Notamacropus eugenii: one gene and its partner. The protein of the gene in region 1 interacts with the protein of each later gene in a pairwise test. Links are inferred from orthologs where the notes say so. Each region holds a gene or a part of one and is shown in the gene's direction. Other genes may lie near its edges.

Region 1 (7,229 bases):
ATTCTCCCAGTCACACATGTGAAAGAGGTGGAGGAAGGAGAAAAGGTCAATTTTGGTTTGAGGCTTTTCCCCCCATCTTGAAAAATGTGGGTGACAATCATGGGCTAATTAACCCCAATAAGTGTATTTCGTGTTCCACAAGCCCTTGAAAATGATTTATAGGGAGACTCCTAGGAATTTATAGCCAACTGCCTAACTCATACTATGCAAATGTAGCCCCCAAGCAAGTCCACCCTAGTCCTTACCTGTGTATGTGCCTATGTGTAGTGGTGGTGGTGGGGTGCTGTCCTGAAATTTTCAAGAGGCATCTGTCTCAGTCCTGGACACAATATTGCCTGATCCTCTTCTTTTCCACTGAAGATTTCTCTGTCAAAGCAGCAGATGGTCTTAAGGCACAAACCTCTGATCCTTAAGCTGATTAATAGACTTGAAGTAATAAGCCTATTAAGAGACCTGAGCCCCCACTGGGAATGGAAAGGAATTGATACCTGTCCCAAACTAGCACACTGATCATCTCCAAATGAGTCACTGAGGATGCTTAGTCTACAGAAGAAAAGACTGCTAACACATGATTGGTGCCTTCGAGTATTTAAAGGGCTGCATCAGACTTGGTCTGCTGGACCAGGGTGGAAGGTTCGAAAAGGTCAATTTGAACTTCATATAAGAAAAAAGCTCCTAATACTTAGAGACACTCAGAAGTGGAATGTGATGCCTCAAGGGGTAGTAGATTCCCTGTGATCAGGGTCTTCGGGAGGAAGGTTTGATAACCACTTTAAGGGTCATTGTAAGGGGCATTCTTAGTCAGATATATATTGGCCTTTAGTCTCTAATGTCCTAACTGTAGGATCCTGTAACTTTGGATATCCAAGTGACTTTAGAAACAACCTAAGTGATCTTCCTGCTTCCTAGTCCTACCCATCACTTTGTCGTTGTTCAGTTGTGTTCAACTCTTACGATCCATTTGAGGTTTTCTTGGCAAAGATACTGGAGTGGTTTGCCATTTTCTCTTCCAGTGGATTAAGGCAAAAAAAAAAAAAAAGATTAAGTGATTTGTCCATGGTTACACAGCTAATAAGTATATGAGACTGAATTCAAACTCAGGTATTCTTGACTTCAGGACAGCTCATCACCAGCTGTCCCAGCCAAGAGTCAAGAAAAACCTGAGTTTCGAATTCTGTCCTCATACTACTTACTTAGCTGTGCTAACCTTTGGCAAATCTTTAATCCCTTTTTACTCTTTTTTCTGCATCTTAAAATCAACTGGACAGAGAAATGGACAACCCACTCCAGCTATCTTTGACAAGAAAACCCTCAAATGGGGTCATGAAGTCAGACATGACTGAAACAAGCAAATAACAAAATTCCTGACTCTAGGTCCAGTGCTCTGTCCACTGCAGCACCTAGCTGCCTCCTCCTCCTAATTCTGATTCCTCCAGGGTTCTGGTTGCATTAACTCTTATTCCAGCTCAGATTCTCCAATTTTTCCTCTCATCTTGTTCTTTTGAACTCTTCCCCCCTCTCCTCAGCTCACCTCTGAATTCTCTGCGCATCTAGCTAACCTGCACTAATATCCTTCCAACCCCTTAGCTTTCTTAATCCTGAGCCTTCAAACAAGCTTTTTCCTGAACTGAGGGCAAAAGGAGAGACAGAGAAAGCCATTCCCTTTTCCCCCACTTCTGTCCTGCTCTTTCTAGCCCTGCTTTAAATAATAACTAATAATAGCTAGCATTTATACACTCCACAGATGATCTCATCTCATCAGTCTCCATTTGGTACATTCTCTTCCTCCTCGAAATCTTCCATGATTACTCCCACCTAACTACAATCACTCCTCTTTAGGGTCATCTTAGCTTTTTTCTCCAGTTTGCATTTCATTTCTTTGTTTCCCTAGTTCTATTTCTCTCTGCCTCTTTCTCTGTCCTGGGTGTATGTTCATAATTCTGGGGTCAGGGACCATATATTTATTTTCCTTTGAGTCTACTCCCAAGGGTTCTCAGAGTTCTCTGCCTTCATGCTCACTTCATCCAGGGTTAGACTCCAAAAGTAGAGGAAGGCAATCTAAAAATGTGCGAGGGTCCTTGAGGGGTCACCTTGTCCATCCCTTTGCTTTTTATCTGGGTGGCAAAACCAATCTCGATTCGCTCTGGAGTTAAGGAGGAATGGAAATGGTGAGGAAGCTTAGCTTCTTTCCTGCTGTTGGGAAGACAGCAAATCAAAATTCAGTACTTAGCATGGTGCTGATGATAATAACATAGTTCCTGACTTCAAGGAGCTTACGTGCTACTTACATGCTTCTGGGGGTGGGCAGAGCAGAGGAGCTACATGTACATGACTGAAATACAAGATAGGGCCTTATATGGACCAAGGAAAGATCCAGACAAAGTACTCTAGAACACTGAGGAGAGAAGACTTTTACCTGGAGAGGATCTGAGAAGGCTTCTTGGAAGAAGGTATTGTGAAGAGTTTTGAAATAAGAGAAGAATTTGGAAAGGAGGAGATGAGAAAACAAATTCGTTCCAGGCATGGAGAAATGCCTGGACAAAGTCATGGAGGTAGAAGGTGTAATGTCAAGTTTCGGCAAACAGCTAAAGTCATTCTCTTTGACTGGAACATAAAGAAAGTGAAAGAGATTAAAAAGACTTTAGAAAACCTTGAATGTCAGGGGGAGGAGCTTTCTTTGTATTCTAGAAGCAAAGGGGACTACTGAAGTTGTGAGCTGGTAACATTGTAATATTTGTGCCCTAGGAAGATAATTTTGGCAGCTGTGCCGAGCACAGGGTTTTAGGGTCTACTGTCCGCTCACATGCATAGAACGTTAAGGTTGGAAGGAACACTAAAGGAATTCCCGTCCCATCCTCTTATTTTACCAATGAAGAAACATGCCTAGAAAGAGGAAGACTTACCCAAAGTGAGTTCAGTCATTTTTTTTCTCTTGTGTCTGACTCTTTGTGACCCCATTTGGGGTTCTCTTGGCAAAAGTACCGGAGAGGTTTACCATTTCTCTAGCTCATTTTACAGATGAGGAAACTGAGGCAAACAGAGTTAAGTGATTTGCCCAAGGTCACACAACTAGGAAGTGTCTGAGGCTAGATTTGAACTCACAAAGCTGAGTTTTCCTGACTCCTAGGCCCGGTACTCAAGGTCACACAGGTTAATATTAGGCAGAGCCAGCATTAGAATCCAGAGCTTTTAACATCTGGCCCAGGGTTCCTTCCTCTTTACCACACTGCCTCCCTGAAATGGCAAGTTTCTGCTAGAATTAGAATATGTAACCTCCAAGCACCATGAGTATGTTTTCTCTTGGCCCAGCAGAGAGCAACGGACTCAAAGTCAGACAGAAGACCTGGGTTCAAATGCTACCCTACCTCATCCTACTTGGACATGTCACTTAAATTCTCAGTGCCTCAGTTTCTTTAACTGTAAAATGAGGGAGTTGAACAGAACCACTAAGGTTTCTTCTAGCTGGAAATCTGTGATCCTATGATCCTTTATTGGGCACAGAGAAGTGGGTCTCCACCCTCCATAATAATAATGCTTCAGAGACTTCATGTAACTCCTAGAGGATTCCTGGGCTTTAATTTTGATACCCTTATCTATTTCCATTCCATGAATCTCCATTCAGTGGAGACAAAAAAACAGCATCCTTCAGCCCCGCACCCTTACAGACTCCTAGCTTTTATCCTAGGGACAGCTAGATAATGATGTGCTGGACCTGGAGCTGGGGAGATCCAAGTTCAAATCCTGCCTCAGACACTTACTAGCTATTTGACATTAGGTAAGTCAGTTAAACTCTCTTGAGGCAGTTTCCCATCTACAAAATAGGGATATTAATAGCACTCAATTCACAGAACTACTGTGAAGATCAAATGAGATAACACATGTAAAATCCTTTGCAAACTTTTAAGTACTAAGTGAATACCAGCTATTATTATTTATTATTATCTCCAGGTCCTAATCTTCCCAGCTTACCAGCCCCCCCAGTGACTCATCTCTGAGCTTGCCAAGGAAGCCCCCACCCTCTGCCCTCTTCCCATCTCCCCACCCCCTTAAGTGGAAAACACACACACACACACACACACACACACACACACACACACACACACACACACACACACACACACACCCCTCCCCCAGCAGTAGGACCAGCCTCTTCCTCCTCAGCCTCCCAGCTCTCTCCTCCCTATCCCCCCTCCCCACACACATATACACACACACCCTGGCTTCCTCTCTGGGGCCTGGGAGCAGATTCAGCTTTGGTTTCCTCAGAGGGGGGTAAGTTTAGGAGGGAGGGAGGAGTGACACCCAATTAAGCCCCTGCCTCACCCTTCCCTTCTGGCCAGGGGCTGAGTGGAGTCAAGAGAAGGCCAGGGGAGCAAACATCGGCTTCCTCTTGTCTGGGAATGAACCTCCCTCCCCTCCTCTGGCCAGGTTTGTTTCTGTGGCCCCAAAAGAGAAAGCCAGCAAGAGGGAGGGCAGGTAGAGCAGCCAATCAGAGCCCAGGAAAAGCACAAAACCAGTTGGTAGCTCTGGGTGGCCGCCAAATGAGAGCAGGGTGGCCACAAACAGGGGGGCCATGACTGAACTGCAACAGCTCCTGGAGTTTGAAATCCCCGAGGGCCAGGAGGCCCTCCGAAGCAACCACAGCAGCCTCCTCAGAGTTGCTGACTACTGTGAAAGCAACTATGTTCAGGTAAGTAGGGCTCTCTCCAACCTTCCTCCCATTGATTGCACTGGCTCCCTAGTATTTGGATGCCTTCCCCAGGCAAATCTCCAGCCCTGGCTCTGAGCTCTTCCATCCCTGATACTGAGCGCCTTTCCATAATCCTGATTCCCGTCTCTAACACTGAACACCAACTCCCATCAGTCCCAGGGGCTGGGCCATTTGAACCTGCTTTCTGTGGAACCCAGGGTGGGGGAGACTCAGCCAAAATCATTACCCCTATCTAAAAAATTCTCCATTTCCATGCCCTCCGCTTCCCCAATCTCTACCAGCACAACGCTTGGTCCCTATAGCCACAGAGCCCAACTAAGTGCATCCTGAGTTCTTCCTTTGAGAGGTGATACCATCTTAAACTATGTCCTCACCATTTTACACTTTCTCTCACCTCCTGACCTCCACCCACCCAGAGAAGAAGAGGGTTGGAGGTAAGGCCTCAGGAAAAACAAACAAACAAACAAAACCTTTTCACTTTTTCTGGTAGGCATAGGAAGTCTCTGGGACAATGAATTGAAGAAAGTCGAGTCAATCCTAGGAAAACTTAAGACAAAGAAGAGAAGACAGGTTAGATTGCGTTAGTGTGGGACTCAGAGGCAAGAAATTGCAAAATGATCTCTGGGAGGGACCTGCCAATTAAGGGAAAAGATTCTGGGATTTTCACAGTTCTCTGCATTCGGAAGTTATCCAAGCATCTGGCTGCTACTATAAGGAACTTGGCTAGAGCTATCTGCCTTCCCTGGATCTCTTTCCCCAGTTCCTCTCCCAATTGTAAGCCAAAAGAAGCTTGCCACTTTGGTGAGGGTGCAGCAGAGGGACAAGATATCTTTTAGGGAGAGCCAGTGGAAGGACATTGGGGAGAGCAAGGGCTCTGTTGAGTATATGCATATGGGAGAGATAGAATGATGGAATTTCTATTCATACTGACATTGTATCATACAAGTGGGATGCCACATGGTATGCAAAATAGCACCTGTTTTGGGGCCATCAATGAACAGTTTCACCCTTACTGTAATGTGAGGTAAGTCCATGCAGTTCAACAAACTGAGGAGAAAGCCTTGGCTTTGGAGTCAGGAAACCTTGGGTTCAAATCTTGTGTCTGTTACATGGGTGACCTGTGTCTGATTTTCAATTTCCTCATCTGTATCCCATGAGAATAATGGTCCCTTCTGCTTCTGAATCCCTTCCTTCTGGAGATCTCATTTTTCCAGAGCGGTTCTTTTTTGCCTTACTGGGAAGGAGAAAAGGAAGGAGGAGGCATGTTTCAGATTAAGAAACTAAAGTCAAGAGGAAGGAAGCAACTCACTCAGTCAGCAAAGGTATCCAAGTCCAAAGTTGGGGTTCTTAGAGACTCCAGGGCTCTGGGCTCTGCAATCCAGTGAAGTAACTAGACTTTCCAAGTTGTTTTTAGTTTCTAGTTGTTTTCTTTGCATTGTCTGGGATCCTTACAGACTGCTTCATCAAGCTGGGGGGAAGATAGGGGTGGCTGGTTAAGGCCGTTATTTAAAGAGCCCCTGGCCCACCCATGTCCTCTGCATGCTTCTCCCCAGTCTTACCAGGTGTCAGGAAAACCACAAGAGTAGCAAGGAGGAGATGGCAGGGTTAACCACAGTTCTGTAGCTCATTTCTCAGGATTGACTGACTTTCCTGATCTGGAGAAATTAGTGTGACTTTTCTTTTGGAGGGGAAGAATCTTAAACTCCATGATAAGGGTCTTCCTGATTCCTCTTGCCCCATCCTCTTCCCACACTTGACTCCAGAGGATTCTTCCTCATCAGCTAAAGCCAGAGTCAGGGTTCAGGGATGGGGTCCAGCCTTTACCCTTCCAGGATTGAGCCCAAACAGCTGTTTCCTGATCAGGATTAGAAGAAATCTTACAGACTGTCTGTAAATTCAAGCCAGAGTCAGCTTGAGCTCCTGAGAATATTTACCTCAGAAATCATGCCACAAATTGGGGTTTCATTCATTGTTTTGTTGATTGTCTAGACTTAAGAAAATTATGGATAAAATGTTAGTAATGCAGTTTTAACTTATAAATATATCCTGGATACATGTTTTTTTTTTTCTTTCCAGAGCACTGTTTGTTAATCATTTATCACCACACTCGTGTTGGTAGATCCTGTCTTTCAAATCCTATGTTTTCTTTTTCCTTGGAGGCAGTTGGGGTTATGTGACTTGCCCAGAATCACACAGCTACTAAGTGTCTGAGGCCAAATTTGAACTCAAGTCCTCCTCATTCCAGGGTCAGTGCTCTATCCACTGTGCCACCTACCTGCCCCCAAACCCTATGTTTTCAAGAAGAAACTAAGACCCAGAAAAGTTTAGTGACTTCCCCAAGGTATTCAGTATCAGAGCTGAAATTAAAATTTCTATACTTATTACACAATGCTCTGTACACAGTTAGTGTTTAATAAATGTTTAACACCAAAAGCAAACATTAGGAATAAGTATAACAGCTAGCACTGATACAGTGTTTGCCGAATACTTTACATATACAATCTCTTTTTATCCTCAC
Region 2 (7,671 bases), on another chromosome or scaffold:
TAGTCTATATTCTATGCAACTTCAACACTCTGGGAGAGAACTTATTATTTTTAGACAATTCTACCCAGAAATGCTCATTTACAAGACTGATTCTCCAACCTAAGATGGATTTTGAAAAAAGAAAAGAAAAAGAAAAACTTCCTAACAAGTATAACTTTTCTAAAGTTGCATGAGAAAACGCGGGAGGTTTCCTTCACTTGAAGTCTTTGAGCAAAGGCTAGATGACAATTTATGAAATCAACTGTAAAAAGAATGGACTTGTTGGCCTCTCAAGTCCTTTCCAATCTGAGATTCCATGATTTTAAAAACTAGAATTCTATTCAGTAAATAGTTATTAAGTCCTTACTATGGACAAGCCCTGTGCTAAATATTAGACACATAAAGATAAAATAAGATGTAGTCTTTGCCCTTTAGAATTATTGTTGCTTGTCCTTTGTGCTCAAAGAGAACCAATGATGTCAGGAGGGTGATGTCTTGACTTAAAAGTGATTTCGATTTAAGTGAAGCAGGGCTGTGCAAAGTCACCAGCCTCACTTTCTCCTCTAGAAAGGCAAGACATAAATCAAGAAAACTGGTGATGGCCCATGCCCATTAGAAACTCCTAATTTAAAGTGGGGAGAGGAGATAAGCCATGCTTGCAAATAAGTATGATACAAGGTCAAGTATGATAAGCAGTAGGGCAGATATGCAGACATAATGCTCTTAAACAAATTGGGGGAGACAAAGATCCTTTTCAGCTGGAAGGATCAGGAAAGACTTCATGGATGAGGTGGCACCTTGTCAATACAGATACAGGAAAGTTTGTGATACCCAGACCCAGTAGATGGGAACAAGAAGCTCCCAAGAAGACAATAAAGCAAACATCTTTATTGAACAGACATGCTTACAAAATAAAGGATAGTCAGGGAGAATTATAGAAACAGGACAGATCTGGGCTCTTGGTTGGAATAGGGCACCCCACCTAGGGCACCCTCTTCCATAACAGTAAAGCCTGGTGAGTTTTGACCAGTTCTTAGGTAAGTCTAATAAAATAAACCAGAATAAACACTAGGGGAAGTGATTGAGAAGCCTGAACCTATGGACTGGTGCTAATTCAGATTGGGAGAAAGAGGAGGCAGAGGAGGGGGAGGCAAAGGGGTTTTGGGTTGTAACTATAGGTCTTATATTTACAGAGTAACTCAGCTTCTCTGACAGGGATTTCTGGGCTTCTTTGATTAGTTTCTCAGACAGGCTAATGTATTCCTTATACACTTCAACTTGAACTTAGACTTTAAGAATCATAGCATCTTCTAGTTCAAAGGAATCTTAAAGGTTATACAGCCCAGTGATGCCACACATCACCACCAAGTGTCCACTTGACCTCCTTTTAAACATCTCCTGTGATAAGGAACCTCTGCCTCTTGAGGAAGCTCATCACATTGTGGGGCAGCTAGAATTATTAGGCAGGTTTTTTGTTCTCCTCTTTATTTGAAATCTCCCTTCCTCCAATTTGCTGCTCATTGGTCCTAGTTCTGTAGCTAGGTGTTGCAGTGGATAGAGTGTTGGGCCTGAAGTCAGGAAGACATCTTCAGACGCTTATTAGCTGTGAGACCCTGGGCAAGTCACTTAACCCTGTTTGCCTCAGTTCCTCATTTGTAAAATGAGCTGGAGAAGGAAATGGCAAACCTCTCCAGTATCTTTGTCAAGAAAACCCCAAAGGAGGTCATGAAGAGTTGGACACGACTGAAAGCAACTGAACAACATTGGTTTTATGGAATAATACAGAATAAGTATAGGCCCTCTTCCCCATGATGACCCCTCTTATATTTGAAGACACGATCAAAATCATCACGGTTTTCTACATTTTTCACACAGATTGTTAGCTGTCTGAGCGAACTGCTACCTTTTAGACCTGGTTTTTATTTATATTTTACTTATTTCAGTCCTAGAAATTATTTGAAAAAAGAATGGGAGGAAATTTCAACTCTTCAGTATATATTTGTTTTCATGTGGTATCCCACATTAGATTGTAAGTTCCTTGAGGTCAAGAATTGTCTTTTGCTTCTTTTTGTATCCCTGGCACTTAGTACAGTACCTGGCACATAGTAGGCTCTTAATAAATTGATTAATTGGTGCTGAAAAATTGATTCTTCCCCTGTGTCTCCCAGATCAAATAGAATAGTACCCAGTTCTGTATTATGTTCAAACCACCTTGCCCCAGAGCCTTCCCATTCTATGATGCTTTTGCCCTCTCTCCTGGGCTTTTAGCCATAGATATCGATGTTGCCTCTGGTTCAGTCCCTGCTTGTTATTTCCATCATGTTTCTATAATGATTCATCTGACAACAGGTGGATTGGGGAAATGAATCTAATTATACCAGTTAGAGTTAAGTAGTAGTATCATGGAATGAAGTCTCCTCCACAGACTTCCTAAATATTCCAATTTTACAAAAGAGGAAACTGAGGCACAAAAAATTAAGTGCTGCACATCTCACATACTTCTATCACACCCTCCCAAATCTGCCAAAGGTCATAAAACTACCCAGAAAAAGAGGCGAGATAAAAACTTAATCTTTTGTCTTCTAGACTAGGTCATACAATCTAATGGAAGCAGATGTTATGGCTACCCCATTGGAGGTCAGACTTGGTCACCCCTCATCAAAGTATATTTTCCAGGAGGACATGGAAAACGCTGGTTGACAACTTGAGATTTGAAGTTCTTACTCTGACCCAAGTGGTGCTAGAGAAAGAGTGATGGATTTAAGGTTCAATGACCCAAGTTTGGATTCCACCTTGTGTCACTTTAGTACCTATGTGATCTTGGGCAAATTACCTGACTTCTCAGCACCTGAGAATTCACATCTGTAAAATGAGAGGAGAGACAAGGAGATCCCCAAGGGCCATTCTAACTCCAAATCAATGATTCTGTGATCTCCCCTAGTAGCAGCTTATCTGAGGTCATGCAGTGAGTTTGTGAGAGACTCCGGAATAGGGCGGAGTTGGGAGGAAAAGAAGGGTAGAGTAGCAAAACGAATGTTGGTTTAGGAGTCAAAAACTAGTGTCAGCTCTGCTTCTGACTAACTATGTCATTCCCCTCCCTTCCCCCCCCCCCCATTTTCCCACTAATTCTTGGCATTTGAATTTTCTCTTAGGATGTTACTGTGTTGTTCAGTTGTTTCCAACTCTTTATGACTCCATTTGGGGTTTCTTGGTAAAGATACTGGAGTGGTTTATCTACCATTCCCTTTTTCAATGGATCCATTTTGTAAGGCAATCAGAGATTAAGTGATTTGCCCAGGGTCACACATCGAGGCTGGATTTGAATTCAGGTCTTCCTAACTCCAGTTCTCTATCCACTGAGCTACCTACTTGCCTCTCCTAGGATATTAGACCTAGTGATTATACTAATGAAATTACCTGGCCAATCAGGAGGCTCGGAATAAAGTCTCAACTCAAGGCCATATGCTCTTGAAAAATTAGACTTTTTGTAAATATTCACATTTTAACAAATTTCCCAATCTTCTTTTACCCTGAAACAACATTCAGAGTGGCTTTTGGTTTTGTTTAGCGGTTGGACAGCAAGAAAGGTGTAAGAAACAAAACTCAAAATGACATTTAAAATTCTTTATGTGATTGCCAAGGGAAACTGCCTCCTAGTAGGCTATGTTTGCATTTGAAGAATTCAGGTACACTCCTGCTTTCCTCTAGCATCTGAGCCTAGGTTTTTGTTCTAAGTTTACTAAGTTTTTTCTTTCCTTTTTGGGGGGGTGGGGCTATCATCATCATCACTAGTAATGGTGAAATTTGGCTCTGGAGAATTTTCCATGACCTTATCCAATTATACCTACTTGATCATAGAAACATTGAGTGTCAGATCTGAGAGGAATCTTAAAATCACACAAACACACGTGTACACACAATCATTTCTCAACATGTGTGCTCTTATTCCTCCATGCCTTTTCTTGAACTTAAAAAGATGAGTAGGGATTCAGTGATGGAATGAGACGTAGCGAATATTCCGAGCAGAGAGCACAATTGAGCTGAAGGAGAGAGAGGTGAGGAAAGATTGGAAAGGGAAGGCCATTGAGTCCAAACCTCTCATTCTAAAGACGAGGAAACTGAGATTCAGAGAAGGCGCAGACTAGTGCAGACTCACAGCAAATTCAGCTCATTCACTTCTGAGGCAAAATTGGAACTCCCGCCATCCGGGTGGTGCCAGATTGCAAAGGATGCTGAGTCCTAGGGAAAGGGTCTTGAACTTGGGGGACAGGGGGTAGACAGTGAAGGTTTAAGAGCAGAGAAGGAACATGACCAGCTCTCTGCAGAAGCACCAGATTTCTGAGGATTTTTTCCAAGTCGGGCTGGATGTCCGTAGCCGCTCCTAGTGAAAACAGCCCCCACTACCATGGCTAGCCACACTACCCCAATAAGACCAGAAAGCTGCGGCTGGATTCCCCCAATTAGCCCAGCAGATGACAGTGACAAAGGCTGGCTTCTCCTTCTCTCTCTCTGGACTCCCCCAACCCCCACCTCCCTTGGAGATGCCAACCCTGGAGGGGGAGGTGTGGTGCTGAAACCCATCGATCTGCGATTGAGCGCGTGGCCCAGTCGGGTCCTGCCCAGAACCTGCCTGCCACCGCTGTGGAAGAAGGCAGCTCCCAGGGTGCTGCATTCATCAGAATTGCTGAGCTGATCACATGGTTTTCTTCCTGCCTTCCCCGTTAGCTGCTCCTTGTCAGCAGCTGGCGGAGCCCGAGGCCGCAGGCCAGTGTGTCTGCAGAAAACCTTTCCCGGCCCTACGTTGCAGAACGCCAGCCTCCTGCTCGCGCTCCCACACCCGCGCCGCCGCCAGCCCGCCTCGCTAACTAAATGGTTTTCCTCCGTGCCAGGGAGATTTCCGTGGATCCCAAGGAAGCTGCCTCTGACTAGGCCATGTTTGCATTTGAAGAATTCAGGTAGGCTCCCGCTTCCCTGCATCAGCCCGAGCCTGGCTTTTTGTTCTGAGCTTACTGGGTGTTTTGTCTTTCTGTCTGTCTTTTCTTTTCTTTTCTTTCTTTCTTCTTGTTTGCTGTGTAATGACACTCTGGGATCTGGCCGCTGCTGCTGCTTGCTAGCAGGGCTGACTTCGGTATTTGTTGGCGGGTTAGAGGGAGATTTGGTTTGGGGAGATTAGGGTTGGGGGGTGCGGGTGGAGATGGAAAGCCCGGGATCCAGGGAAAGGATGCTGAGTGAAGGCTGAAGTGATAGCCAGATAACTGATTTTTCCGTTGCACGAATTGATTAAGATCCACCTGGATGCCGGTGTAGGGCTCTGAATACCAAGCAGCCCAACATCGGTCCACCCTTTGTCAAACCCAGGAGAGAATGATGCTCCTTTCAAAAATAAATAAATAAAGTGGGGAGGTGGGGGATGAGAAGAATGTTAATGGTGGTAGCTGAAGCCGGAGAATTTTGGCAAGTCTGCAGAGCTGAGATTTGGCTTTGACTTCATCAGATGTTTGTTATTTTTAATAATAATCTCCTGGCTGGGGAGCTCTGGGTGAAGCCTGTTGGAAGGGTTTCCCTAAGCAGGCTTTCTCTTTGCTGTTTGTAAGCGGTTCAGCTGCTGCTGCAGTTCTTAATGTTCCAAATTAGCATCTTTTGTGAGGCTGACTTGCCCCCTCTTTCCTCAGAGAACCCATCTCTGAGTATCAGTGTGGGAAGGGTAGTTTGGGCGAAATGAAAATTAAGGAGGGTAGGGCTGAAAAGGCAAACAGATGGATTCTATGTTATGTGCCACCTCTTGTGAGCTTATGAAGGAGTGTGTTTGCTGGGATTCCTGACCTCTACTAGCCTCTGGTTTTCTGAGAATGATTTACTTTTTATTTTTATACTAAGCCAAACCATTAAAACAGCTGGAAAGACTAGTGACTCAGGATGTCAGAACTGGAAGAAAACTTGGAATCATAGAACATGGAATGTTGGAATAAGAAGGGACCTTGGAATCACAATATGAAATGTCAGAGCAAGAAAGGGACCTTAGAATCATAGACCATGGAATGACAGTGCAAGCAGGGACGATGGAACCATAGAAGAAAGGATGACCGAGATGGAAGGACCTTAGAGATTATCTGATCTATTACCTCATTTGACAGATGTGGAAACTGAGGTTCAATGAGTTTAAGTAATTTATCTAAGGGTGTACACCCAGGAAATGGCAAAGTTAAGATGAATCCAAGTCCCTTGTTTCCAATCTACAGGGTCTCCTTGACGGCTTTACAGCCATCATCACAAAACCCTTATCTGATTTCCCAAAATGCTACAACCCTATCCCCTTATTTAAAATAATCACAAAACAACCACCTTAGTAGATATAATAATTATAAGAGTGAGGGAGGGAATGAATGAAAGAGGGAGGAACCCTTTTCATACAGACAAGGAAAATGAGTTACAAGGTTGGGCTATAGATGTCTTTCCATAAACTTGGCTCTTAAGATTCAAGGATTTCAGTTTGTGTTGTGTTTAAGAGGCTTGCTCCTTAAAGTTAGAAATTGGAAAGGCTTATTCTTATGGGTAGAAAGAGGTCATAGATGGTGAGGAAACTCTGGTCTTATACTTCAAGGACTATTTTCTGTAAGCAATGGTAGAAATGAGGACTGGTGGCATTTCACACTTGCCAGCAGGTTTCTTTGGCCTGAGTGAAGGGGTGTTCCTGGAATCCGTTAGAATGCTGTGTAACTGCAGTTGCCAGAGCATTGTTAACCACAGTCCATTCAATGATAACAGGAACTCATTTGACAGATATTTATTAAAATACCTACTGTGTAATAGGCATTGTGCTAGGCACTTAGGGACACTTTTTTAGTCACTTTAGAACTTGAAAGAATCTTTTGAGATCATCTAGTTTAACTCCACCTAGTTCGAGTCTAACTTGTTGCCCAAGGTTACACAGATAATGACTATCAGGGACAGGAAATAGCGAATAAATGGTGGAGTGGAGATTCAAACCCAGATCCTTTGACTTTAAACCTAGAGTTTTTCCATTATACCATACTGGCTGGGGGATGGAGGAGGGTGGGAAGGGATGCATATAATGTAGTATTCAAACCTGTTTCCACTCTTAAAGGTCCTGGCAATAAAGTGGATTTAGTCCTAGTGCCCAGAACTGGGGAAATAGTTCTCTACACACTCTGCCCTGATCAGACTACACCTGGAGAATTGTGCTCGGTTCTAGGCAACCCATTTGAGAAACAATGTTGATTGGTTTGAGATTGGGAGGGCTACCAGTAAGAAGAAAGAGGCCAAAATCAATCTGAATGAATCTTAACTGAAGGAGCTAGCGTGCTTAGCCTTGAGAAGACAGAGGCAGGACAAAAGACATTGGTGTGAGAAGGGACTGTATTACTCTAATTGTTCAGAGGGTTTTTTTCCTCCCCCAACCCCCAATTCAAACCTAAATCTGCTATTTCCACCCACTGCTCCTGCTTTCTGGGGCCAACCAGAACAAGTCCCTCCTCCAAATGATAGTCCTTCAAACCCTCTGAACAATTAGAGGAATACAAATGTAGGATGGGCTGCTTCTCGAGATAGTGGGTTTCTCATCACTGCAAAAGCTCTTCAAGTGCTTGTCGGGGATTGTATAGAGAGGATTTGGGTGATGGATCATATTAGATGAACTCTGAGTTCTACTAAGCTCAAAGATTTTATGAGTCT

What was found.
Region 2: the proteins of ABI3 (region 1) and EVL interact in binary tests that used the Homo sapiens proteins (3 or more experiments, as listed by UniProt). The link is inferred for Notamacropus eugenii from reciprocal best matches to the Homo sapiens genes ABI3 and EVL.

What each region holds. Positions count from the first base shown.
Region 1 is NC_092873.1:351,666,046-351,673,274, reverse strand, and holds the start of ABI3 (ABI gene family member 3), read left to right. Parts: upstream 1-4,216; 5' UTR 4,217-4,573; coding exon 4,574-4,690; intron 4,691-5,181; exon of another isoform or gene 5,182-5,257; intron 5,258-6,020; exon of another isoform or gene 6,021-6,179; intron 6,180-6,270; exon of another isoform or gene 6,271-6,566; intron 6,567-6,645; exon of another isoform or gene 6,646-7,229. UniProt on the Homo sapiens protein: May inhibit tumor metastasis. In vitro, reduces cell motility.
Region 2 is NC_092872.1:355,478,098-355,485,768, reverse strand, and holds the start of EVL (ena/VASP-like protein), read left to right. Parts: upstream 1-4,650; 5' UTR 4,651-4,911; coding exon 4,912-4,934; intron 4,935-7,671. UniProt on the Homo sapiens protein: Ena/VASP proteins are actin-associated proteins involved in a range of processes dependent on cytoskeleton remodeling and cell polarity such as axon guidance and lamellipodial and filopodial dynamics in migrating cells.